2 linked regions of the Struthio camelus genome follow. The protein of the gene in region 1 purifies or fractionates together with the protein of each later gene. This does not show direct contact. Links are inferred from orthologs where the notes say so. Each region holds a gene or a part of one and is shown on either strand. Other genes may lie near its edges. The genes, in order: PIDD1 and CRADD.

Region 1 (12,293 bases):
ACCTAAAGAGTCTGGGATACTCGATAACCGATTCCCAGAGAGATCCAGTTCTGTGCAGTTGCGCAGATTTCCAACCTCATCAGGGAGGTATTCCAAGGCATTTTCCGAGAGATCCAGGTCCTGCAGCGCTGCCAGCTCCCCAATGCTCTGCGGTAAGTCCTTCAGCTGGTTTTTCATAGCAGAGAAGAAAGTCAGCTTGCTCAGACAGCCAAAGTCTTCAGGCAGCACCACCAGGCTGTTGTGGCTCACCAGGAGCACACGGAGGCTGGGGAGGTGGGGGATGCAGCTGGGCAAGGTGGAAAGGCGATTGAAGCTGAGATCCAGGTGAGTGAGACACCTCAGGTTCCCAAAGTCCGGTGGCAAATTTGTCAGAGAACCAGGCTGACACGAGCCAAATTCGTCCCGGGCATGGCCACCTGGGTGCAGAGGGAAGCAGAGGGAGAGGTCGCTGTGCTGAAGGGATACCTCACCAGCCTCACACCAAGCTCCTTTCTGAAGCCGTAGCACAGAAAACGGAGTTACGCATCACTACGAGCAACACTGATTACAAAGTACTTGTGGATATGCGTTTTTTCCGCTCCTTGCCTCAGTTTCCCCATCTGTGAAAGAGGTATAACAGTGAAGACCTGCTATGAAATCAAGAGCTGCCACAGTCAGCTAGGAGAGCTCACCTAAACACACGGGGAGTCAAAGCTCAGAAACAGCCAGGACACTCCATGCCTTACTGCCACTCAGTAGGGTGGTTCACACCCCTCCAAGCCTCCCGCTCTCCTCTTCCACCTCTTACCAACCCCACTGGACAAGAAACAACCTTTCTGGGGGGACCGTGGGGGAGGACTCCTCGCCCTCCAGGCTCTGCCCAGGCTGCCGAAGCACGAACAGCCCCAAGAACTGAGACCTGCAGGACAGGGGAGGGACCCTGGGCAGCCCCCCCACTCCATCCTCGGACGAAGCAGGCACGAGGAAAGCAGTCAAAATATGGCCAAAAAGCAGGTAGCTCAGTAGCAGGCCAGATGACAAGGCAGAGAGGGAGGGGTAGGACCCCCGCCCCAGCTTGCGAAACTCCAGCTGGAGAAGGGTTGCGCCCAGGAAAAAGAAGTTAGGCAACCAAAGGCAGACGCCCACTACGCTCCGTTTCTTCACTGCTTCCTCCTGCCCTTCCAACTGCTGTCCGTTTGTAAAAGCTTACAGCAGAGGGCACCAAAAAATATTTATGCTGCAAAATGGTAAAAAATGTAAATAATCAAACTGTACCTGGAACATAAGAAAATCTCAGTGACCTACTCTATTCCACTTCAGGATGCTTAGGGTGTACGTTCATCTCTCAAAGCAAGTCTCACAACAGGCACTACTGTTATCACGACTTTATTGAAGGGGGAAAAGACAAACAAAATGATTTGCATGAGATTTTATGAGAAATCTGTGGCAGACACAGAAATGAACCTCAGTCTCTCAAGTTTTCAGCTCGAATGCTGAAGCCTGGCCACAAAACCACCCTTTTCTCTCATGCGTTTTTAAATTCTACCTCCCAAAGACCAAATGATTCAGTCTGATACAAAAATCCTATCATTCATATTGAGATCCTCCTACAATAAAGAGACGAGAAAGTCAAAGAACGATATAATATTTATATGTGACAGTTATTACAGCATGCCAAATTACATGCACATCCTGAGTCCTACTTTTTGATAAAATGTTGAACAGCCTCTTCGGGTCGATCTTGAATGCTGCTAAGCTTATCCTTGCTGACATTAAGCAAGGATCGAGTTAGGATTTATTCAGAGCAACCTGCAGCAAAAAGAGCTCATTATGCTTCCAAAAATAAAAGAGGGGCTGAACAGCCACCAAAAAATCTATCACCTGTCAATCCCCCTCTCTATACATAACTGCAAAAAACATTCTCCTTGCAGAGGATGGATAAAGAAAAAGTCGCAGTGTCCATCTAACTAGACTCCACAAACTGGTCCCCAGGCAGCTGCAGAAACAAAGCGGGGAAACGCGAGCGTCAAAGCTGCTTCTTGGTGAAATCCGCATGCAGCTTTGAGCAAGACTAAGAGCCAAAGCTCTAGGAAGGGGCACTGGTACCACCAAAAAAACCCCACACATAAAGGCAGTTTGTCCTGCGGATGTGGAGAGGAGAATAAAAAAAAAATAACTAAAACTGAGCCTAGGAAAGTGGATGGTGACAGGTCCACGAATTTACCTTTCAGCACGAGGGATTTCAGGCTCTTCAGATGAGGGAGGATGCCCAGCATGGCGCCAAGGAGGCGATCGTTGCCGCTGAGCCGGACGAATTCCACCTGGGCCAGGTCTCCCCCGCGCCTCTCAAACAGCTGGAGGAAGCGGCAGCAGCCGTCAGGATAAACATCCAGATTCAGCCTGTTGTCCGCGAGGCAGGGGCCGGTGAGCGCGGGAGCCCCCGAAGTGCCCTCCCCGCGCTCGTCCCCGAGCCCCGGCAGCTCTGCCATCCTCTGCGTCTCGTTCGCGGGGCTGGGACATGCTCTGACTTGCCAGGCAGGGAGGCACCGGCAGCACGGCGAGGCAGCCGGGCCAAGGAGTGAGGACGGCTCTGAAAGGAAGCACAAGCGCACGGTGAAGGCCTCCCGCGCAAGCCCAGAAAGGCTGCAAACAGCTTATAATCAACAGCAACGGGGTATAAGGGATTGCACGTGTGTAACTGAGAGCTTTACGGGCAGAAGGCATGGAGAATGAAGTGCGAGAGACACTGCGGAGGCTTCTCCCTCCTCAGGAAAAACCTCTGCGTTCTCCTAGACTTCAAGGAGTGGAAGAGCTATCCAACATCAGAATAAACAGCAAGAGTAACTTGAAAAGACATAATCACTAATGCCTACGCCTGGCACAGAAGTTTTAACTGGCAGATTTCAAAGTGCCTTAGCAAGATGGTCAGGAGGTTTATCAGCAACTGGGGAAACTGGGCCAGAGAGAGCCGAGCAGAGCCCAGGGTCCTCGCAGGCGGCGTTGGGCCTGGAGCGCAGCCGGTTGTGCAACCGGGCGCCAAGGGGATAAACGTGAGCGCAGCTGGAAGTGGGCAAAGGGCAGTGGAGCAAACGGGGCAGTGACAGGGAGCGGGGCCATCGGAGGGATGTCCGTGGCACAGGAGCACCGCACCGTGCGGTGCGACTCGTGCTCTTACAGGTTTGCCTCCGCAGGGATGCTGGAAGCCAGCAATGAGGACGTGAAGCCACAGCAGACCAGTGACCAGCTATTCCTTTTTTTCGCCCCACGCGGCACCCTTTGTGGACAAGGAGAAGGGTGAAAAGCAGGCATCGTATAGTGTGTGCTAAGGAGGATTTAATGCTCAAGGAGCAGAGGTATGAAATTTGAACAAATTAATTACTCCACTAACTTCTCACTGTGAAGAAGCCTCCATGCACCCAGGACTTTGGAAATCAGCATGTGTGCATGCGACAACTGCCATGGCACATCGATAACATAAAAACGAGCACAAGTACTACCTTTGTTTTTGTACCAACGGTTACACACTTCCAAGTCCCCCATTTCACGTTCTTTCCACTTAACTTCCTTTATCTTTTTTAACTCCTCCTGAGCTTGGCAATGAAAGAAGCTTAGGATGTGAGTTTCATGTTTAAAAACCCTGCCTTGGATGGAATAGCCGAACACAAGTTTGAGTGAGTGATGTAGAACTGTAAAAACTGTTAACAACTTCAACATCCAAGGGCAGTAGAAGCAGTACTCTGAAGAGCACCCCTTTTTACTGTTAAGCTGCAGGACATGGCAGTACCAATGCTTCCCTGCCACAGTCTGGAAGGAGACATCACACACAACACCCTGAAAGAGCAGAAGCCTTGCTGACGCATAAGGAAGGGAAGAAAGGGCAAATGGAAAGTACCACTTTAGGAAAAAGATAAGTATTTCTCATGAAAACGCTGTACACAATACACACACAGACCTCAGCTCTGTCACAGATACGTGTAAGCAAAACGCTGGTGTGATGCCGCTTTGCAGAGCCATTGGTGGTGAAGAGACCAGAGAGCAGCTCTGCCCTGGCCAGGCCGGGGAGGCTCAGGTACCGCACATCGAGCCCCAGGCACCAAGACAGGCACACAGGCAGCAGACGTGTGCGCAGGCACGCACACGGGCAGGCACACGTGTGCACATATGTACGGGCAGGCACACGCGTGCACATGCACAGGCACACACACGTGCACCTGGACACAAACAAGCACATATGTACACACACACATGCACATGCACCCAGGCACATACACACGCACACACACGTACCCAGGCCCCCACTCGGGTACACGCACACACGTGCACAGGCATACAGGCACACACACATGCTCTCAGGCGCACACGTGTGCACATGCACACAGGCGCGCACGTGTGGGTGCATGCACACGTGCACACATACAGGCATGCGCATGCACGTACACGCACATGTGTGCATGCAGACAGGCACACACGCGCATCTACACACACACACACACGTGCACACGCACACGGGTGTACAGCACACATGTGCACTTGCACACAGGCACACCCCCGGGCCGTCCTCACCTGCCCTGCTGCCAGCTCCAGCAGCCCCAGGCCCCCGTCACCCCACACCCACAAGGCACAGCCCCCGGGGACCTCCCAGGCCACACGCACCGGGCCCCACTGAGCACAGCCGCGCTCATCTCACCCCCACCCCTGGCCCCTGGCACAACCTTGGTCCCGAAAGCCTGGCTGCTGCGCTGGGTCGGGCTCGGCTCAGCCGGCCACTTCCTGCAAAGTTTGCAGTGAACTCCGGGCTGCCTGCCGGGGCGGGCCGCGCTGGAGGAGGTGCCGGATGCAGCAGACCAAGGGGCAGGCGGCTCTGGAGAGCTGGGCCAAGGCACTAGGCCCTGCCACCGCACCCCAGCTGGTGTCCACGCTGCTCCCCCGCAGGGGGTGGCTGGGGCCAGATGTGCGCTTAGCCTGGAGGGAAAGAGAGGCGAGGGCAGCTCCTGATAGCGCTCTAATTTGCTGCAAATTCAAGGAGAAAAAACAAGCAGGAACAGAGACCGCAAGCCCTGACGTGTGTGGGACTGGGGGCTGCAGAGCTGGGGGAGGCTCCTGCAGGGGGGCCTTCGCAGGGCTGCGCTGCATCTCATCGCTCTGCACTCTGGGAGCCGCCCTGCCTTCGATTTTTTCATTGCAAGAGATTTAGTTCAGCTTAACACTGTGTCCGGGCAAGACCCCACAGCATGTATTTTGCTCTTTGTTTTGTTAAGAACGTGCAATGTCTGATTTTGCGTTCACAACAGGTGTCCAGTCAGTGACTCCATGCTGTGGCGCGCTGGTCTCGCTGTGCAATGCCACCTGAGAAGTGCGAGGTCCCTGTTTCAGCACTTCTCGCTCAAAGCTGCCTATAAGCTGTGCAGTGCCCCGAGGGAAATTTCTGTCCCTACAGGGAGCAAAAAACTAATTGTGCCCATGGCTGTGCTTTTTAGTTTACCAGACTGCTTTCCTGAAACACTTCCAAAGTTATACAACCGGGAGCCTGGCTGTTTATTGGAGGCACCTGAATTCCCAGGGGTGAGAAGCGGAAAGCGCTGCGTATGGGGTTTCTATACTGTCTGCAGGACAGGAACGGCCAAAGCTTCCTTATAACACTCCACTGCAGTGATGCAGCTTTATTTGGGCCTGTTGGATCCTGGCGCAGTATTCCTAAGAGCCTCCGCGCTCCTTTCTCGTTTTTATTCGTTTCCCTAGCACAGGGGTGAAGGAATCAAATCAAGCGACGAAGGCCATTTTCGCCAGCAGGAATCCAGGCTGGATCAACGCCTAACCTTCCTGGCACGGCTCCTAACTCCAGGAGCGACTTCGGGCTGCGTTTTTTCCCGTCCTCGCGATGCCTTTTTTTGCTGACAGGACGGCGGCCGCAACGGCCAGACTCTGGATTTCACAGGCGGCAGCAGCGCCAATCCAGGCCTAGCGCGGAGCAACGACGGGAGCCCGCGCTAATAACGGAGCTCGAGGGGGAGTAACTGTAACGAAGGGTTAGCCTGAGCCGTGCCGAGAGGAAGCGAGAGGAAGCCGGGACGGCGGCAGCAGCACCTCCACTGCCGCTTCCGCCCTAACGGACATCAAGATGGCGGCCGCCGCCTACTCGCCGCCGCCCCTCCCACCCACCCACCCATTGGCTGCGCGGCTCGCGGCCGGCGCGGCCCAATGGCAGCGCGCGTTGCTGAGGGGTGACGGGAAGAAGCCGCCGCCGAGGCGCCGCCTCTTCCCTTTCGCCGCCGGGCTGCCGTCGCGAGCGCACGTCGCAGGCCTCTCTCCCGCGCCGCCCCCCCTCCCTCCGAGTAAGCGCGCGGCGACCCCATTTCCCTACTTCCCCCCCCCCCAACACACCTCTCCCGCGGGAGTGGTCGCGCCCGCCCGGGACGGTCCGCGGGGCTCGGGTGGGACCATTGCGGGAGCCGGGGGGGAGGGGGAGGCGGCCATGTGCTGGGGCGGCGGCGCGGCGCTGAGGCGGCTGTTGTCTCTCGCAGGATGCGTTACGTCGCGGCCTACCTGCTCGCCGTCCTCGGCGGCAACGAGTCGCCCACCTCCAAGGACCTGAAGAAGATCCTGGACAGCGTCGGCATCGAGACGGACGACGAGCGCGTGAACAAGGTGCTTGCTTCAAGAGTTGCCGCTTTTCCAGGGGGCAAACGCTCAGTAACGTCCTGGCGTTTGTCACACCCCCCCCCCCCCGGAGAAGCCCGTTTTCCTTCCCTGAGCAACGCAGAGGGAAAAGGGCCTGCGGTCATAACGGGCAGGAGACAAACAGGAACGGTGCGGGAGTGGTTACGTAGAAAACCAGGCTTTTTAAGAAGAGCTTTCTAGTGGGAAAGCTGCTCCTGATGTAGTAAGCTTCCCGTTTGCTGCATTAATGGCCGTGGGAAGAAGAAGGAAAAATTGTCTTACTGCCTGCCGCGTACCTGTATGCAGGGTGTTTCCAGAGGGGCGGAGGAAAAACAAGTTATTTTCCCGTTCGGGTGCCGTATCTTCACCCTCAGCCAAAATGATGGGTTGACTCAGCGGACAGAAGCCTTGTAGGGTTTGGGAGGTTGCGTTGAACTCGCGTTCAAACACCAGGTCTTTTAGCTTTGGCTTGTTTACCCTTGTTTAAAACCTTCATAAATTTAACTTTTTTTTTTTCCTGATCCTTCAATATCCAGAAAGTCTCACTGGTGTTTGTTTTGATCATAGTTATCCATCTTTCTATATTTGTACTGGCTGGACTTTATGCCAGTGTAAATCTAGTGAAGCCATGACACCTTCCAGATTAAGGGAGCCCACAGACATGGCATTTCACAGGCTGCATGCTCTGTGTGAGCAGGAGATATTTCTTCAAAACTTCTTGGTTGGCCTTACCTCATTTGTTCATTTCCTTTGGCTTTGGTGACGCTGCAGTGCTCAGCACTGACACCCAATAGCAGGAGCTCATTAGTAAGATCTATGACGTTCCTTTTTGATTTTTTTTTTTTTTGCTTGCTTGCTTTAGCAATTTTTGTTTTCCTCATCCCTGGTTATACAACAATGATAGTAAAATAGAAGTCAGGACTCTCTGTTCCAGTGCAAGGATATAGTCACCAGCTTGGCTTTAACATTTGGTAGTGCTAAGAACAGGACCCTGTGGTTTTTGGTGTGAGGCCCAGTGCTTCAGAGCTTCCCAGTGGAAGTTAAGCAAGATTAGTTATCAGTCCCTCAGTGAGTAACAAACCATTAGTGGGGTTTCCCAGTTGGCTCCAGAAGGCACCCTACTTTCTGTAACGTCCATGGATTCATTATGAATTTCTTGCAACAGATTTCATGAGAAAACTTTCACAGAAAAGCACAAAAGAGCTAGCTGGAACTTGTATTTCAATTTTCTGCTCCTTCCACTGAGTTGGAGCTGGGCAGGCAGCGGGATGGAGGCATTGCTCACCGTTAATCAATACTTGTGTAAAGGTAGCTTGTACTCTTGTTTTGACATTTTAAATTTAATTTACACAGGTTATTAGTGAGCTGAATGGAAAGAACATTGAGGATGTCATTGCTCAGGGTAAGTGCAGTCTTCGAGTGTCACAGGTAATTGCCTCTACCAGTTTGGTAACTTAGGCTTAAGAGCACAGAATTACTGTCAACTCCTTGACATATACATCAGTTTGGTCTCGCTGGCGAGCACTTTCATGCTGGATCTCTGCTGAAATGACTGTGAAATCCAGCAGGTCCATTCTAATTCCTTGCAGGTCAGTGCCAGTACCTGCTGGGTTTCGCTTGTGGACCACATTAAACTGGGAGACTTCAAAATGTATGAGCTTACTGGTAGTCTGCTCATAATATAGTTTTCTGGACATGCTGATTAGAGAAAGAATTAGCTAACCTTTGGTACTCTGGGAGATTTTTTTGGATTTACCCACTTGTGCAGACTAATTGAGTAAAATAGGAAGAAGAGACTGTTAAATGTAAGTAGAAGTGACGGTTCTTGTTAAGGGCACAGTTGCCCCCACTGCAATTAATACAAGCCTCCAAAACACACCTTTGCTAGAGCTGCCCCAATCTGGCCTTTCCTTTTCTCTGAGATGGGGCTCTCTGAGGTACTGACTTGTATAGGAAGCTTGTGCTCTTACCTGCTGGCACCTAAGCTGGAACTTTTAACGTTATTTCACTGGGTCACAGGGCTGAAATAACGTAGAGCTGAGGTAGTGCAAAGGTCTGGAATTAATTAATCTCTATTTTGCAAATACATAGGCGCAATACATACATATTTGAACTATATTTGCTTAAAGGTTGCCAGGACTTTGCCTGGCATTGCTGATAAAAGCAGTAACTGGATGTTTCTGTCAGTGTGGTCTGAAGACCTAAGAGAGCCATTGTGCGTGTGTTTACAACACATTTAAGCCACTTCTTTGTGATACTTGATCTTAAAATATAGTTTCCTAGAACACATTGACAGGCATATGAAACATGTTTGTTTACTTTGCGAGTTTATTAGAGCTTGAAATAACAAGGAATTATTTAGAAACTGATTCCCAGAAATTGTAATACAGGCAAACATACTGTGTATGCAACCTCTGAATGCCAAGGGAGCCTTGGTATGTGAAAGGCAGATGCCAGAGAACTGGCTGACTTTCCAAAGACAAGCATAAATCAGAAGGAAGTTTGCTAATCTGAAAGGACATGCCATAGTTCACAGGGTGTTGGAGGATCTGGTCAGAATGTTGTATTTTTTGCCACAAATAACAGCGTTTTTTTCCTTCTCTCTCCTATGTGATCTTAGTCATGCCCTTACAATTGTCTATACCTTCAAACAAACAAACAAAATAGCCGAGTCTGCCCATACTTATTTTTGAGGTATATTAAAGTTACCTACTTTCTGAACTGTTACCTTGTATTGCAACATGGTAGCCAATAAATAGACACAGCTCAACAGAAATCATCTAGAAAGAGCTCTAAGTCTTGTTTTTCTGTATCTGTAAAATTTGCTGATGTGTTTGCCACTATTTTTATAGGACCATTTTGGAAAAAATGTAGGGACTGTATATACAGAAGAAAACTTTATTAATACAGTATCAGTGTTCTCCAGACAAGCTTTTGATGTGAACAAGCACTTTTAAACCTAAACTCCAGCTCCTTTTAGTAGAATGGTTTATGCTTTCTTACGATGGATGCAGCTGGTTGTTCCTTTCAGTTAATAGTGACTGTTCAGTCTTAGACTTAGATTCTGAGTTTTCTACACTTCCGTTTCTCCTCCTTTTCACCCTGCCTGTGTTCCAGACTGGCTAGATAAAAAAGCTGGTCTGCGTGTTGCAATACCTGTAGCATCATTAAACACACTGCAGTGAGCATTTAACTACTGTTCTTCCTCTGTCTTGTTCAGGTAATGGAAAACTTGCCAGCATGCCTGCGGGAGGAGCTGTGGCCGTCTCTGCTGGCGGGGGCTCTGCTGCTCCTGCTGCAGGTGGTGCTGCCCCCGCTGCAGGTGAGCGTGGGTGTCTGGTTAGTGTGCTGAGTTGGGGGGAGACATGTCGTCACAGGACAGCTCCTTTTTCCTCTGTTAAAATCTTGGGTGAAATCCAAATGTCATTCTCTTTCCAGTTTGGCAGTTGAGTGTGCGACTGAAATGTGAATTGAACTGTTACTTTTTGAGGGCATTTACAAGTGTTTGTTCTTTAGCCACCATCCCATAAGCTTGTTCTGGTTCTGAGAATCAAAATGGACTTTATTGTGTAAAGCACATCCCTTCAATAGTAGTGTCTCAGTCCCTACAGTGTTTATATTGGCTACTGAAAGGGAATGAATGGCTGCGAAGATGAACGGTGGAGGCTGAAATACCAATAACATGGAAGCTGAGAACACCAAAACATTAACTTTGTTCCTGAAAACCTGTGGTGCAAAAAATGTACAGTAAATACTGATGATTGGCATTGTTTTCCTCCATTTTCAGCTGAGGAGAAGAAAGAAGAGAAGAAAGAAGAATCTGAAGAATCTGATGATGACATGGGATTCGGCCTCTTTGATTAATTATTTGTTATAGAAATACTATTAAATTTTGTTTGTTTTAAAGGGTTTTTGAGTTTATTAGTATAACCATAAAGTACTATTGGATTCAGACAGCTTTCTTAAAATAGCTCTGACAAAGCTTGGGTTTTTAGCTCTGTCTGAAATAGATATGCTACTTTGAGTAAATGAGGCCATGGGAATGATTCTTTTAAAGCGCTTGGGTATTGCTAAGCTTGTGTGAACCTGAAGGCTTGTTTTGAGACTATTTATTAAATGGTATATGGAAGTTGAATTTACGTGAATTCACCCTCTTCACACTATCTTGCCATCATAGTTATTCAGGAAAGAATCCTACCTATTCAGCCATAAAAAGGCTTATTTTTTGGAATCTGTGTAGTCAATTCCAAAACATGAGTGGCAAGCAAGTCCAGATGAGTCCACAAATGTTACAACCAATACTTATTAGAACTAGCTTTGAAATAACTATTTAAAAACCCACCGATTTCATTTTGGCTTCATATTCCAAGATCTAGAAACAACACCAATAACATGTTTGACTCTACTTGGATTTCACGTTACATCCATATGCTCAACTTTAAGCCTTCCACAAGATTACCACATGCCTGCCTGCAGGCCCTGCTCTTCAGGGGCTTTTAACCCAAGGACACTGAAGTCAGTCCAAAGGCGCTCTTAATTTCTGTTTTGGGGACAGCCAAAGTATCAGCTTGAAATGGAACAAAAAGAAAATAGGAAAATATTTTTGGAAGTTGACCTCTATGGTGTGCCCAGAAAAATGCATCATCTTGGGAGGATGCTAAATTTTGCTTTTGTAAAGTGTTTTCTGCTAGGAGCCAGTTCCAGCAGACAACTTCCAGTGACTTCTACAGCGGTCTTTAACAGGTAATGTGCAAATAGGCGCATGATGGTCTTCCCATGCCAGGTTTTCCACAAGTAGTGTCAAAAGCAGGGTCTTGGAGCAAGTAGTCTGCGCTATGAAGTCTTGCCAACAGTTAAGTTGTTGCAGTGTGTGGCTGATAGTGCTGTGCAGGCTATGAGTCATTGGACAAAGCATGGTGAATATATCCCAGAGTGTAGATGGGTGAAATCCAAGTAGGAAAAAGTGTTTTATCTCCCTGTGGCATACTGGAGAAAACACTCAGCAGCAGCCAAGGAAGAGGGAGCAGATGAAACTTCAATCCTCAGACCTCAAAATGGCTGTGATTCAAGCAACTACCCCTTGCTGTCTTTTCTGCATGTTGCAAGAAAGAGCTACCGGAGGTAGCACCAAAACCTTTCTTCTACTTCAGCTCCTGCTGGGTGATCTTCATAGCTGTAATGAAAACTGCTTGTGTTTACTCTAGTTCTCTGTCAGAAATGTCATGGCTGTGATTTGACAGTGACTGGGGTGCAGGTGTATCTGTGTTTCTTTCCTTGTGATTTCCCCACTTTAGGTAACTGAAAAAAAGAAGTTCTCGGGTCTGGTTTCACTGAAAGGTAGCCCCCAACCTGCAATATCGCCTTGCTTTGGCTACTACAAGGGCAAAGTCAGTGTGTTTTCACGGGGAGGGACTGTGCCCTATCACCACGTTCAACTGGGCCTTTTCTGTGCGCGAAGGACTTCAGTTTCAATAGCACTGCGCTATTCCATGAGTTTTGTGGTGGCCAGGCCTATGGGATGAGACTGAAACCTCTCCTATCAGCTGTTCCCTAGGAGAAAAGAATAGCCAGAGGACTAAAATGTCTCCCTTAGACTCCAGCTACATCCAGACTGACTTCCCTCTCTTCCTCCTATTTTTCTACCTCTCCCTATGACC
Region 2 (12,933 bases), on another chromosome or scaffold:
CAGTCTGTCCTAGCCCCAGCGTTTCCAAGGTTGAGAGGGATTAATTCTGTTCATTAATCAAGTTATCTGTAGGGCTTTGAAATAGCCTAGTCCTCAGAGAAAGAGTCTACCGAAATGTAAAAATGTGTTACCATAATTATGATGTTTGAGTTCCTTGATAAACTGTGGATCTTGTTCTGCTTAAATCCTATTAAAAAAAAAAAAAAGGATTGCACCTGCACTTCCCCCTTCCCCCCATTTAGAGCCGTTAACACTTTAGGAACTGAAACACCAACATAAAATTGTTGCATTCTATGACATTAAGGAGGAAAAACTGCAGGAGCAAAAGCTACTTATGTTAGCATTAAAAAAGAAGGGGGCATCTAGTAGGAAAAAGTTCAGATAGGCGATATCCAGGAAACGTTGAGTGCTGAGTGTTGCACAGAACAACATACGTTAAAAAATTCCCAAGTTCAATGTGCCTGCCTTAATTTTTCTTTCATTGCCAGGCAGAGGTTATATAAAAAAATCCTTTTGTTTTCAGTCAAATTGTTACATAATTGATGTTTCATAGCTGAGGATTGTAATTTGGTGCACTGTCGGTTAACAAATAGTAAATGCAGAGGTATGTTAAATGTGGGAAAAATCCAAAGCCCAATGCACATTCTTCTTTGGAGTTTATTGAAGTTATTATTTATTAGGCTTTGGACCAAGCTTGATAGTAAGAACTATCTAAGAAACAGTTGTAAGATTGATTTTTGAAAGCTGTAAAATCACTTTTAATTATGCTTTGTTAAAATGGAGTTGTATCTCTTAACGTTTCAGCCCTGAAATAGGATCTGTTCAGATGACTGTTTTGTACCCGCACAGCTTTTCTCAGTGGGAATCTCTGAATTTGAGGGGTTGCGCAGGGCACCTATATAACATATCTCATGCATTTGCTTTTTTATCACCTAACATGTTGCTTATTGACACAGTCTTTAGCGAGGAATAAGTTGTCGATCAATACTCGTGTGGTTATTGTTTATGGCACTTTCAGCTGCCTCATTTCCTCTTAGGAAGAACATTATCCTACAGGACTGAGCCTATATTGGCTGCAATTTGCTTATCCCTAGTGTGGGTGGTGGACTTCACGTTTCGTAGTGCATCAGGGTAAAAGTGAAAAGTCACTTTTAAAAAAATTAATATCAGTAAGATTTTAAGCTACGATGATGGTAATATCTTTGAATGCCTGCACTGCAAGGTAGAGAGAGGGAAGTAAGTTGGGAAACTGAGATTCTTATGTAACTGCAGCGCAGTGGAAGTGGCATCACAGCTCCTTTCTGAGAAAATTAGCTGAAGCACCACAGACGTGTGTTGTCTGCAAGGGAAACCGACTGTAAGAACTATAAACTGTTTTCTTGAAGTTCATCTGTTTCTTTTAAGTCCCCTGTTGGAAGATGTAGTGCCTACGTCAGGCTGCTTAACTAGCCCACGGTAACCACGAATGGATACAGGTTTCATTTTGAAAGGGAACAAAAAGGACTCAGTGAATTTGTAATTAGAGGACATTTTCTGTTTGAAATTGAGGCATAAGGAAGAAGTATAGAGAGTGGCAAATCCCTCGATAGGCTACCTATAAAAACTTTCCATGACTCATCACTAGCTCCTTAAAAGTTTAACCTGAAAGTCAGAGCCTTTAGAAGTATACATACTGCATATGAGAAAAGCAATAGAAGTTTCTTGGGAAGATTTAGAACAGATTTCTCAAGAAAGAAATAGATGACAAAAAATAGTGCTTATTCTCCTCTTTACATCCCAATCTTTATCTAAAACCTCCCAGTCTTTATCGCAAATACTAGACAATCTGTTCATATGTTGTAATTTGCAAACAGAAGAAGTTGGTTTTGTGAGAAGGTTTCAGACTTGCTTCTTGAATTCCTTTTACTTATTTGTCAGCATTCGATTTTAAGGTTATTTTGTGGATTTTCTTGGTTTGTTCTCACAATAGTAAGACGGTTGTTTTCTGTTTTAAAAGTATTTTATAAGTCTGGAACAAACATTTAGAGGCTTTCAGTATTTCATCTGCCTACTAAATGCATCTTTAAATTAAACTTCTGTGTTTCACATATAAGAAAATGAAGAAAACAAGCAGAGAACTATATTAATTCATAAACTTACAGAGAATGGAGTAAAAATTCCTTGTAAGAGAAATATGGAGTTACATTTTGCAAATTTGAATTGCAAGTTTTTTTACTACAATTCATGGCAGAGATTCCTTTTTTTCCAGAATGAGCATGCCAGTTTTACATTTCATACCTGCTTCTTTTCTTAGTACTAGTCTACATATAATTTTTGGCTAGAGATTATCTGCATCAAAGTAAACAGCATTAAGAATTAGTTCATTCCAGTACTGCTAATAAATAGTTACTTTTATTATCAAAACAAATGTAAATGTAAAGGGGCACTACACATGGTCATTTCAAACACCATGCTTTAATATGTGTTTTGAAACTTTCTGTGCTATATTTTATCTACATGCTGGATGTGCCTTTAATAAAATAATACTTTTAAGAAAATTGATGACAAGTGTCACCTACATTTTATATTCATTGCTCTCTTCGAACTGTGTTTAATTTAAAGCTTTTATATGAATGAGAAGTTACGAAATAGCAGAGTAATCTAAGTGGCAGCCCAGGGGCTGACCCCGAGCAGTGGCACACTTCAATCCTGCCTGTCATCTTTTCCCAGGGGTGATGAGGAATCGCTTTTGGAATAGCAAGCGCAGCCTGGACCGTGCCAGCCCCCTTCCCAACCAGAGTCCAGCACAGATAATTGCTGCCCTGCTGCTGTCAGGAAGGCGAGGAGCCGGTGGGTTCCTCCCAGAATCCGGTGGCAGGCTCAGGAGAAGAGCAGAGTGGCAGCATTTGGGAGGGCTGTGCATGCCAGGAGCTGTGTACTGGGATGGCAAGGAGGAAAAGGAAGGGAAGGGATCGTTACATGTGAAGGAGGTGGACGGCAGTGGCTTGCAAGACCGTCATCTGGTCCTTAGGCCACTGAGTTTCGGCCACTTTGACTTACATTTTAATAGTGTTTTCAAGATACATCACATTCAGAAATGTTTTCTGTGCTCTTCTTTCTAAAAATGACAGGCAACCATATAATATATGTTCCTTTTTTCCATCTTCATTTCAGAGGTTTTGTAAGAGATTTAACCAATTAGATGTGTTTTTAATAAACAAATCTAGAGGCTCATATTTCTTTTCTTTTGTCTTTAAAGTTGGAATGCTGTCCTACAGACAATTGAAAACAGCATAGTCCTAATAGATTAAATCTGGTTGCACGAGTTTTAAAAAACAAATTTTGGCTCTTGTTATCAGCAGAAACAAATTAGTATGTAGAAAACAAAGAAAATATGTAAATGCTAGCATAGAGCTTGACTCTAATTAGCATAAAGGATCCTCTCAAACGCTTTTGAAAAATTTTACTATACTTGTGCTGTGTTTCTAAGAAGATTTGGAACTTTTAATTGGGCTTTTTTAAAAAAAGTGTATGGTTAATTTAAAAATCTGGCATTCTGATCTGTAATAACCCACATGTAAAAGAGAACAGCACTGTTAGAAAAGATGCTGCTTAGCTTGGTTCCCGCAGATTTGGACTTGCCACACTGAATTCAGCCGTTCAAAAAACTGCAGCCTGAAGACCACTGGTGGTTCCCCAATCCACAGAACCACACCGAATACAATTTTAAGTTAAAAATCTGATGATAACATTGTAGCCCCTGATAAATGTGCAGGATGAATAGTGGTCCATTGATCTAAAAGGTTTGGGAAATACTATTCTAATCTATGTGTTTAGCTAAGGTTAGCTTTCAGATTTTAGCACATTTAGTAGGGAGCTGAGCTGAACCCAAACTGGCTAAAGTATTTTTTTTTCCCCTAAAACTGGAATGGAACTGAACCGTTCTTTTGAAGTTTTGTTGAACTTGGACCAGAACCGAACTGGAACAACTTTAGTCAGAGCTGAACCCAAACAGAATTGAAATGAAGTTTAAGGGTTTTATTGCTTGGATGTAAGGCAACACCTGTGCGCATCCTTATCCTGTAGCTTCAGGGTAAACTCGGAGCATAACCAACTGTTGATTTGTATTGATAAAGACAAAACACTACTTTACAGTTTCCACTCAATTTATATCAAAAGGAAACATCAGATTTTCCCTTTAATCAGACTTAGACCTCTGCTGTTATCCTCATCCTTCCTAAGCTTATCTATTTTCTTTTCGCCATTTCTTTCTTTGCATCACGTCTCTGTTTAGACTGTAAGCAAAGACATGATTAAATGCTGGCTATACTTAAAACAGCAAGACTGTAACCGTTTACTTCAGTGGGAACCAGAGTTGCTCTGTACATACCCATATGTTTTGTTAACTTTCTAAGATCTCCTTGGACCACATAAAACAAATAACCATAATTGCCTGATCTGCCAAAAAGATACAGTAAATGCAAGTGATGCAATTGCTTGTATTTATTTTCTATTTTAAAATGTAGGTACATTATCTGGTATTAAGTGCAGCTGTCAGGATCACAGTGATGTGATACTGTAATTCTCCAAGCTGGTCACTCCAATTCTAGATATAACACAGTTCCTTAGATTGTGACTATATCTGGAAAAAAAAAAAGAAAAGAAATTGGAAGTAAGAAATATTAGAAATTAAGAAAGGAAATTTTCAGGAGCCATGCGTTCTGTGCTAAAGAATGATCATATAGATGGTTTGCAGTGTCCTCTGTCAGTATGCATCGCTTACAGATGTTGCACTTTCTCACAGCCAGTATTACAAACTTTCCATAAGGTATAAAAATTTAAGAACACCTCAGTTGTACTTTGGTTACAACAGCAGCATACTTCTTTTCAGTTAGAATTGCTGATGATGACTTACTTGTGTGGTTTCCAGTTTATCTTGTTAATGTCTTAGTTAATATTATGTTAATGCCTGAGTGAAACAACCAATAGCGGCATTTAAAATTTTTATGTCTACGTTCCTAGAAGACTAACACATGTGCCCGAGGCCAAAATATTTACCTTGCTTTAATGGATGTGTTGGAATGAGATACTATTTATCAGTTATCTAAAAGCAATTTCAATCCCTTGTATCAAATTATTTATCTGGAAATAATCCTAACAAAATAGGTATGGTCAATTAAGCTAAAATATTGCCTAAATTGCTAAAATTGCCTAACAGATAGCATTTCTGCAGAAACTGTCCATATACTAAGTTATATATAATTTCTTTAAACATTTCTTAAGGCTAGTGTACATCAAACTTTGCCTTTTAGACTCACATTCTGTGTCCACATAAATTCTCAGCTTTGTTGTTAAACACTGGAAAAATCAAAGAAAAGGGATATAAGCTCTCTAAGTGTCACTAAATGCATCTCCTTATGCAAAACCCTGAAGGTAAATAAAATACTGAAGAAATGCAGCATACTACCTCTACCAACAATACTTTCAGTTATATTTCTCCATGGCAAATATTTCCTGGGTACGATATCTAACAAAGGCACGTAAAGGTTTCCATAAATAACTTCAAATATGCTTAAATCTATATGAGCAGTCTAAACCGAATGTACAAATAGAATTCACATGGTGGCAACGTTTCTAGCAGCAGCTGCAGCAGCCACCTTTTCTGGTTTTCCGAAGGGTTGGCATTAGCAAGTCGACCAGACCACAGCCAGCTCGCTGTGGCTGCCTGCTACTTCAAGGTAGCGCGTTCCAGCTCCACAGGATCTTTTTTCCTTCGTTGCTATTGCCGTCGCCAGACACTAAAGAAAAGAGCTGACATCACTGAAATCCATGTGACGCCTGACACCTACACTACGTTGGAAAAAAGTTCTACAGTGATACGTGATAGGAAATGACACTGCATCATTGCAATAGATCTATGAATCAGAGTTTTCTCTCTTCTGTAGTACTTTGATTTCAAATATTCGTATAAAATGAGCTATTGAAAGGAATGTTTTCATATCCAACAATACACGAATAAAACGATGAGAACATATTGGACTGTGCATAGCACAAGGAATGTGGTAAAAACAGGCTGGACTTTACCTAACTGCTTTTCAGATATGAAAGTTTCATTTTTAGGCTGCTCAGCTAAAAGTAACGAAACCAAGTATATACAGCATTCAGCATGCTACTGCGGTGTATTTGAGGTAACACCAGCATCTGAGTGAGGTTTGGCTTAGTATATACTTGCAAATAAGAACCAGTATCCATAACGAGTAGCGAGATCACCTGTTTCTAATGTCGTGAAAACTCCTTTTTTTGTAAGCTTAGCTTTATTTTAGCTATAACGCTTCCATTTTCTGAAGAACGCCCAGACGGTGACAGTAGCAGGTATTCGAGATGTGAACTCCTGGAAGCGAGCCTTCCTCACGGAAATACCGCCTCGTCACAGAGCTGCTAGCACGGGAGCCTGAGCCCTTGTTTTACCCTAGCTGTTAATGCTGGTTGCAAGCCCAGTCTCCTAACTCTTGTTCCCGTCCGAAAAACAAAAGCCAAGCCCTCGAGGCAAACAAACGGCTCCTGCCGAGAGACCCGCTGGCTCCGCTGCCACCTCGCCTTTCCAAAAAGATAAAAAAAAAAACCCAAAATCAAAAAATATGGCCTCTACAAGCACAAACAGCGGAGCCGCGCAGCCTTCCCCCGCGCCTGGCCGACTAACGGCCGGACTAACCGACTTAACGGGCGGACCACGCGCCGCGGCGCTGCCCACAACAAACATGGCGGCGGCGGGCCCCCGCCCTCGCCGTCAGCGCGGCCGGCGGCGGCGGCCCTTCCTCGGCGGCGGCGCCGCGAGCCGCGGCCGCTTCCGGCGAAGCCCGCTTGCCTTCAACAAAGATGGTGGCCCCCGCGCAGGCTCCGCGGGCGCTCGGGCGCTGCGCGTAGTTCCCACTTCCCTCCTGTAAGTACGCCGACAGGGGCGGGGGGGCCCTGCCTGCGCGCCGCCGCCGCCGCCCTCCCCGCCCGGCCCGGCTCGGCCGGCCCCCCCGTCTTCCTTCCCCCCCCCCCCCCAACCCTGGCGCCGCGGGGAGCCGCGCGGGGGCCGGCGAGCGAGGAGAGCCCGCCCCGGCGCCTGGCCCAGGGCCTCGCCTCGCCTCGCCGCTCCGCCGCCCCCCGGAGCAGCGCGGAGCGGGCGTGGGCGGCGCCGGGGCCGGGGCCGGGCGGCGCTGGGCCTCGCCGGGGCGGCGGGTGGCGGCGCCCCCCGGGCGGGAGGCGGCGGCCGCGCCGGCACGGAGCTGCGCCGCCCGGGGTTAAGTGTCCCGGCAGCAGCTGTCTCTCGGTTCGGTTTGCAGCTCGGAAGTTATAAACACAACTTGATTTTTTTTTTTCTTTCTTTTTCTTTCTTTCTTTTTTTTTTTTTTTTTAAACTGTGCAGACACACTGCGAATAACCAGATCGCACACGGGTTTGGTAGGGTCGACCTTATTCTTACCTAAGCAGGTACACGGAGTCATATTTGCAGTTATACGCAGCCTAGTCCCCTGGGCATTTGGGAGAGTGCAGACATGGTTCTAGCAAAAACTAAGTAAATGCTCATTTTAGGATCAGAAAGTTCTTGAAATCCAGGTTTTCAAAAGTTGTGTCCCCGAGCTTGGACAGATTGTACGCCAGTGGATCCATAAAAATCCAAACTTGTCCATGTGAGTGTGGAAATAAATCAAGAATTGTGCTCGTTCATCAGAACGAGGAGCTGTATTTCTTAAAGTTTGGATCGACAGTGGAAAGGTACATTTTTGGAGTGTAGCTGGAGAAGGTTTGAGCTGCATCGTCCTTCCATTTTTGAAGTAGAAGTAAACTGGAGTCTCATATTTTTACTTTCCTCGTATTTTACTTCTCTGTATTACCAGAGAAAATTATCCTGGTGCTTAACTCTGGATCCTTAGATATAGGCTGGGATTGAAGTTAGTTCATTGCTGCATTAAACTCTGGCCCTAGAGCGTTACACACCAAAATCCTGATAAACTTCCATGTCCGACTGCTTAGTTCCCAACTCTAAACAAGCCCTTTCCTCCTCGTGGTAAACACACATAAAGAAATAGTTAATCTTAAAAAAAAAAAACCACCCTTTTAAATATCAAGAAGCCCTGTAACTCTGCCAGTGACCTCTCAGTTAAGAGGCCTGATGGACTTTTAAAACCTTGGTTGTGCTCATGCTAATGTCAGTGGGCCAGATGCCTGCTTCAGCAGAAATTCTCCTTTCAGATTCATAGCCATAAAAGCATTTTTCGGTGCAAGAAGGTGCAGGCAGAGATGATTTGAAAAGGCCTTAATTTTGAAGTGTTGAGCACTTGGGCCAGGAATGAAGAAAGGGAACTGAAGAAGTGTTCTGAACTGTCTGAGGACTCAAGTGTTCCCTGTTCAGTGCACGAGTGAGCCTCTTAGATGGGCCTCTTGACGACCATCACAGAACGTGAGGCAGCAGGGTTTCATAGCATCAGAAACTATTTTCTGCTTGGGTTTAGCTAATTCTCTCAGAGCTGTGGCTAGATGCCTCTCTTGAATTCTGCAAGTACTTTATCAGCTCAGGGGTGGTCAGGGAATCCCCCCGGGAAGGGGAAAGTAGGGGGATCTGCTTCCTAAATTGTACCCCTTTTGCTTTAATCTGGTGATCGCTCCCAGTAGCATAAAGGTGTTATATAGAGACCAGAGTCTTCAGTTTCACCCATCCAAAATGAGTATCCAGTTCTCTGTCGTTTACTGTTCTTCTGTCACCTTGCCTGCACTATCATCTCTTAACAGAGTTTGATGCAGTCTGAGCTATGCCTAGTAAATTCAGCTTTTTTAAGAGCATCTGTGCCAGGATAGTGGTTGTTTGATTCCCGGATGACCCTAGGTGTGATGCCTAGAAGGTAGGCATTTGAAAATTCAGCTCAGGATATAAGAAATCTACTGACTAGCTCAGCCAAGGTGCAGTCCTCCTGAGAAGGTGCCCTCTAACATTGCTCTCGGTGCTCAGGGAAAGCTTTATCAGAAAGTGGCTTTATCACAGGATGTCAAAGGGGCTTTCTCACAGGGGATTTTCCTGTCTCTCTCTTTTGGCCATAAGCTCTTATTTTCTGTCCAAAATGCCATTTAGAGGCCTATATATTTTGTTGAACGCCTGCCTTGGATTTTAACAACCAGGCCACTTAGAAGTGTCTTTGATGGCGCCTTGGGAGTCAATACGCATCTCTGACAACTTAAAGGCATTAGAAGCTTTCCTACAAAAGTTCTGAAAATCTTAGATTCTCCCTGTATCTTCAAGCTGAAGTATGGTTTCTGCAAGGTCTAGCTGTCAGAACAGCAGCTTCTAGTTTAATTATCAGAAATTCTCTTGGTAATCACAGTTGACACCTGCTACAGTTTTTTTTGGCTTCATGATTAGTCATGAGAAAGTATTTAATTGTATTACTCTATCATTTTCCTTTTCAAGGAAATGAATGGGCCTAAGGATGTATTTGTCATTAACAACTAGGCTAGATGTCTTGATTCAGTTGACAGCTCTGGCACTGACTCATTTTTTTATATGATATGATCTAGGGTGAGTTGCTTGGCCTCTCTGGGCCTTGATTCCTCTTCTGTAGAGTTGCTATAAAATGCATCTTTTCCAGCTTTTGTCTAGTCAGAGCGTTATTCAAGTGAAATGGAAGCTGAGAGAAGGCATCTGATTGCTTTCTATAAACTCATTAGAAGGGTAAATACCAGGGAGGGAAAAGAGCTACTTAAGCTGAAGAAGGAGTTTTGGCAGAAAAACAAATGCCTATAAATAGAAGATGAATAAATTTAAGATGGAAATCCGAAGAAAGTTTCTCGTCATCAGATCAGTCAAGTTCTAGAACAGCTTTCCAGGATGAGTCAGGGGAGAGAACAGCTTGGTGTAAAAGGTGCACTTCTAACCCTTCTAAAATGAATAGGTATTGCACAAGCCAAAGCTACCTACTCTGTTGCTGTTGCTGCAGGCTGGGCTCTTTCTGTCTGTCCTGCTGCTGCTTTTGTGCTACTGTGGCAGAAGTACTGCAACAGTAATAATGTCAGAGACAGCAGTAGTAGAGATCAGGTGTGCCATCTGTTTAATTTGGGGGGGGGGGGGTGTAGAGTCTCTTATGGACTGGCAAATACTATAGCTGCTTTCAGCATGGGCATTGACCAGTTAATGGATGAGGTTATTCAGCCCGGTTGATTGTTCCAACAAAGGACTGGTCTTCACAATGCCAAAGGTTCCCTTCCTGTCTAATGTTTCCCAAAAATGGCTGCCTTTTAGCTTCTGAGACAGTGAAATCTGAGCAGAAAGAAGATGGCTGGGATCACTAGTAGTTTTCCCAGGCTGATGACTGAGTTTAGCATTCTTTCTAAAGGTTGGCAGGTATGGAACATCACTTCTGGATGTTAAAGATTGAAGTATTTTAATCTCCATGCGTGTTCCTGCTCCTTTTCTCATATTCTAGGTTGTCAGATGGATGCCAGAGACAAGCAACTTCTACGCTCCCTGCGTCTGGAGCTCTGCACAGAGGTGCTCGTGGATGGACTTGTTATTCAGTACCTCTACCAAGAGGGGATTCTCACAGACAGTCATGTTCAAGAAATAAAATCCCAAACCACCAGTCAAAGGAAAACCATGATGCTCCTTGATATTCTTCCTACTAGAGGACCCAAAGCATTTGATGTATTCTTGGATTCCTTGCAGGAGTTTCCATGGGTTAAAGACAAGTTGAAAGCTAAGCGTAAGGAAATGACAGTAGAAGATCCTGCAGGTAAGGCCTGAATTGCTATTGCTGATGTTTTGAAGCTTGTTCTCAGCTGTAATTTTGAATGTATTGAATGTACCAGTAATTTCAAGTTATGCATCATAACTTGATATGGAGCATGAAACCAGCATAGGGCACAGCCTGAATTTCCTGGAAGCCAGCCAAACGCCAGGAAGCATTGCAAAGTTTGGGGAGTGAGCAAGGCTGACTTGGATACTGGGAGGCAGCAGCTTCCATAAGGAAAGGCTGTATTTGGAGGGTCTGAGATGTAGGACCCAGGGTCCCTTACCACAAAACGGGCAGACTGTAAAGAGTAGTTTCAACTAGCTGAAGAGCAATCTCTTCATAATCCATACCTGATTAATCTGTTTTATGTATGTTTTACAGTGTTTCACTTCTACAGTGTTGATATTGGCAGGATTTTTATTTACTTGATTTAATTATGATTTTAATGTGGTTTTAATTTGGTGGCATATATTAATTTAGAATTATGTAGTTTATTGTGTTTATTGGAGTGCACATGTCTAGGATCAGTACCTCCAAAATTACTAGCCATTGCTTAGTTTTAAAAAGAGCACAGCAGCTAACAGATTTAGTGGATATTATATAATCTTATTGAGTCAGATCTCTTGTTTTTTGACATTTAGATGTATTTCTAGAACAGTTTTTTGAGCCTGATGTTTCCTCTGAAGTGATTTTTTTAATGAATACCCATATGCAATTGTTGAGCTGTTCTGAAGTACGGGGGAAAATGCTTAAAATATACTTTTCCTGTCCTAGAAAAGATTTTTTTGAAACATGTCTGAGCTGTTATCCTACTGTTACCAGTTTAATAGTGAAGTAGTTCTTACTCGGGAACGTTGTTTCTGAGCAATCTGATTAACTTCTCTTCTTTCCCCCTCAAACCCCACCTGATCTGGATTTGGTCCTATTATGATGCACATGATGTGATTTTTCCAGTGTCAGTCTGTTTTGCATGAGACTCTTAAGCTTGTGAAGATGTGTTTCTAAGAACTGTTGAACATCATGCGTGCCAGCGTCTGAGTTAGCTGCACGCCCAAGAATGTTTTGTGAAGATCTGCTGGACAAATATGACATTATCTTACCTTAGGACATTTTTAATGGAATATTATGACAGCTTTTCCTTCTGTTGGACCTGTGTGGAGATTGCTTTATGCTTGCTCCCCAGCTGCAGAACCGAGTGAAAAACTTTCAGAACTTTTTGGAGAATAAATATCACATGCCTCCCATAGGTGAAAACACTGTGAGTTCTCAGCACAATGCAATCTTGTGGTATTGAAGTGTTGAAAAAGACCTTGTTGATATGACAAATCCTGCCATACTAATGTTCTGTATTTGCCTTACAAATCAATGTGTTTGCTAATTGCTGGTAAAGCTTTTGAATAATGTCTGCACTTCCACACACGCACACACGCGCACACACACACACACACACACACACACACACACACAGCCGCCAAATACACTCAAGATCACATATTTTGTTACTAGAAAAATAGTTTCAGACATTTGTTCTTTTGATTCTTTTGTGGATTATTTCTTCGTGTACTTGATAGTTTGTGACTAACATGCTGTATTTATGCATATCAAGTTCTTTAGTTTCGTGTGGGTTGACTGTACTGATAATCCTATTGCCAAATCTTGCGTGTAAGCTAGAAAAGACTTCCAGATTAGATCAAAGGTTGCCATTATTTTTACTGTGGCAATACAAAATGTAAAAACAGAGTAAGAGGCAAATAACCAATAGTCAATATTTGTGCGCGTTCTTTGGGAGCACCACCTGTGCCTTAATAAATGATGAGCGCATCCTGAAATTAACTGAAAATGTTGGTGGCATTGTCAGTGTTTTTTGCATGCAAAAAATGTAGATTGAGGTAAAAAAAAGCCTCACTTTGCATTCTGAACAACCAACTTGCAAGCTTTTGTCTCAATAGAGTGCTTGAGCATGTGCTTGACCTTAGGCACAGAAAAAGCCATTGGCTCTAATAAAACTATAAGCATAGTTAAAATTAAGTACATTCTTTACTGCCGTGCTAGATAACTTAACTTCTGCCTTATTGGAAGCAGTTCTTATAAATGATAATTTGCCACTGGCAATTGGTTTAAAATAATCCATTTGTAATGAAAAGAGCCTACTATATACACATTACCTTTTTTAAAAACCATACTA

What was found.
Region 2: the proteins of PIDD1 (region 1) and CRADD purify together in Homo sapiens (affinity purification with western blotting; 8 studies listed by BioGRID and IntAct, with this or other methods). This does not show direct contact. The link is inferred for Struthio camelus from reciprocal best matches to the Homo sapiens genes PIDD1 and CRADD.

The regions. Positions count from the first base shown.
Region 1 is NC_090946.1:16,117,219-16,129,511, forward strand, and holds the start of PIDD1 (p53-induced death domain-containing protein 1), read right to left. Parts: upstream 4,820-12,293; 5' UTR 4,692-4,819; intron 2,570-4,691; 5' UTR 2,469-2,569; coding exon 2,204-2,468; intron 417-2,203; coding exon 3-416; intron 1-2. Other genes in the region: RPLP2 (large ribosomal subunit protein P2), read left to right, coding at 6,502-6,624, 7,990-8,038, 9,857-9,958, 10,424-10,500. UniProt on the Homo sapiens protein: Component of the DNA damage/stress response pathway that functions downstream of p53/TP53 and can either promote cell survival or apoptosis.
Region 2 is NC_090942.1:51,379,905-51,392,837, forward strand, and holds the start of CRADD (death domain-containing protein CRADD), read left to right. Parts: upstream 1-6,729; 5' UTR 6,730-6,919; intron 6,920-10,442; 5' UTR 10,443-10,450; coding exon 10,451-10,748; intron 10,749-12,933. UniProt on the Homo sapiens protein: Adapter protein that associates with PIDD1 and the caspase CASP2 to form the PIDDosome, a complex that activates CASP2 and triggers apoptosis.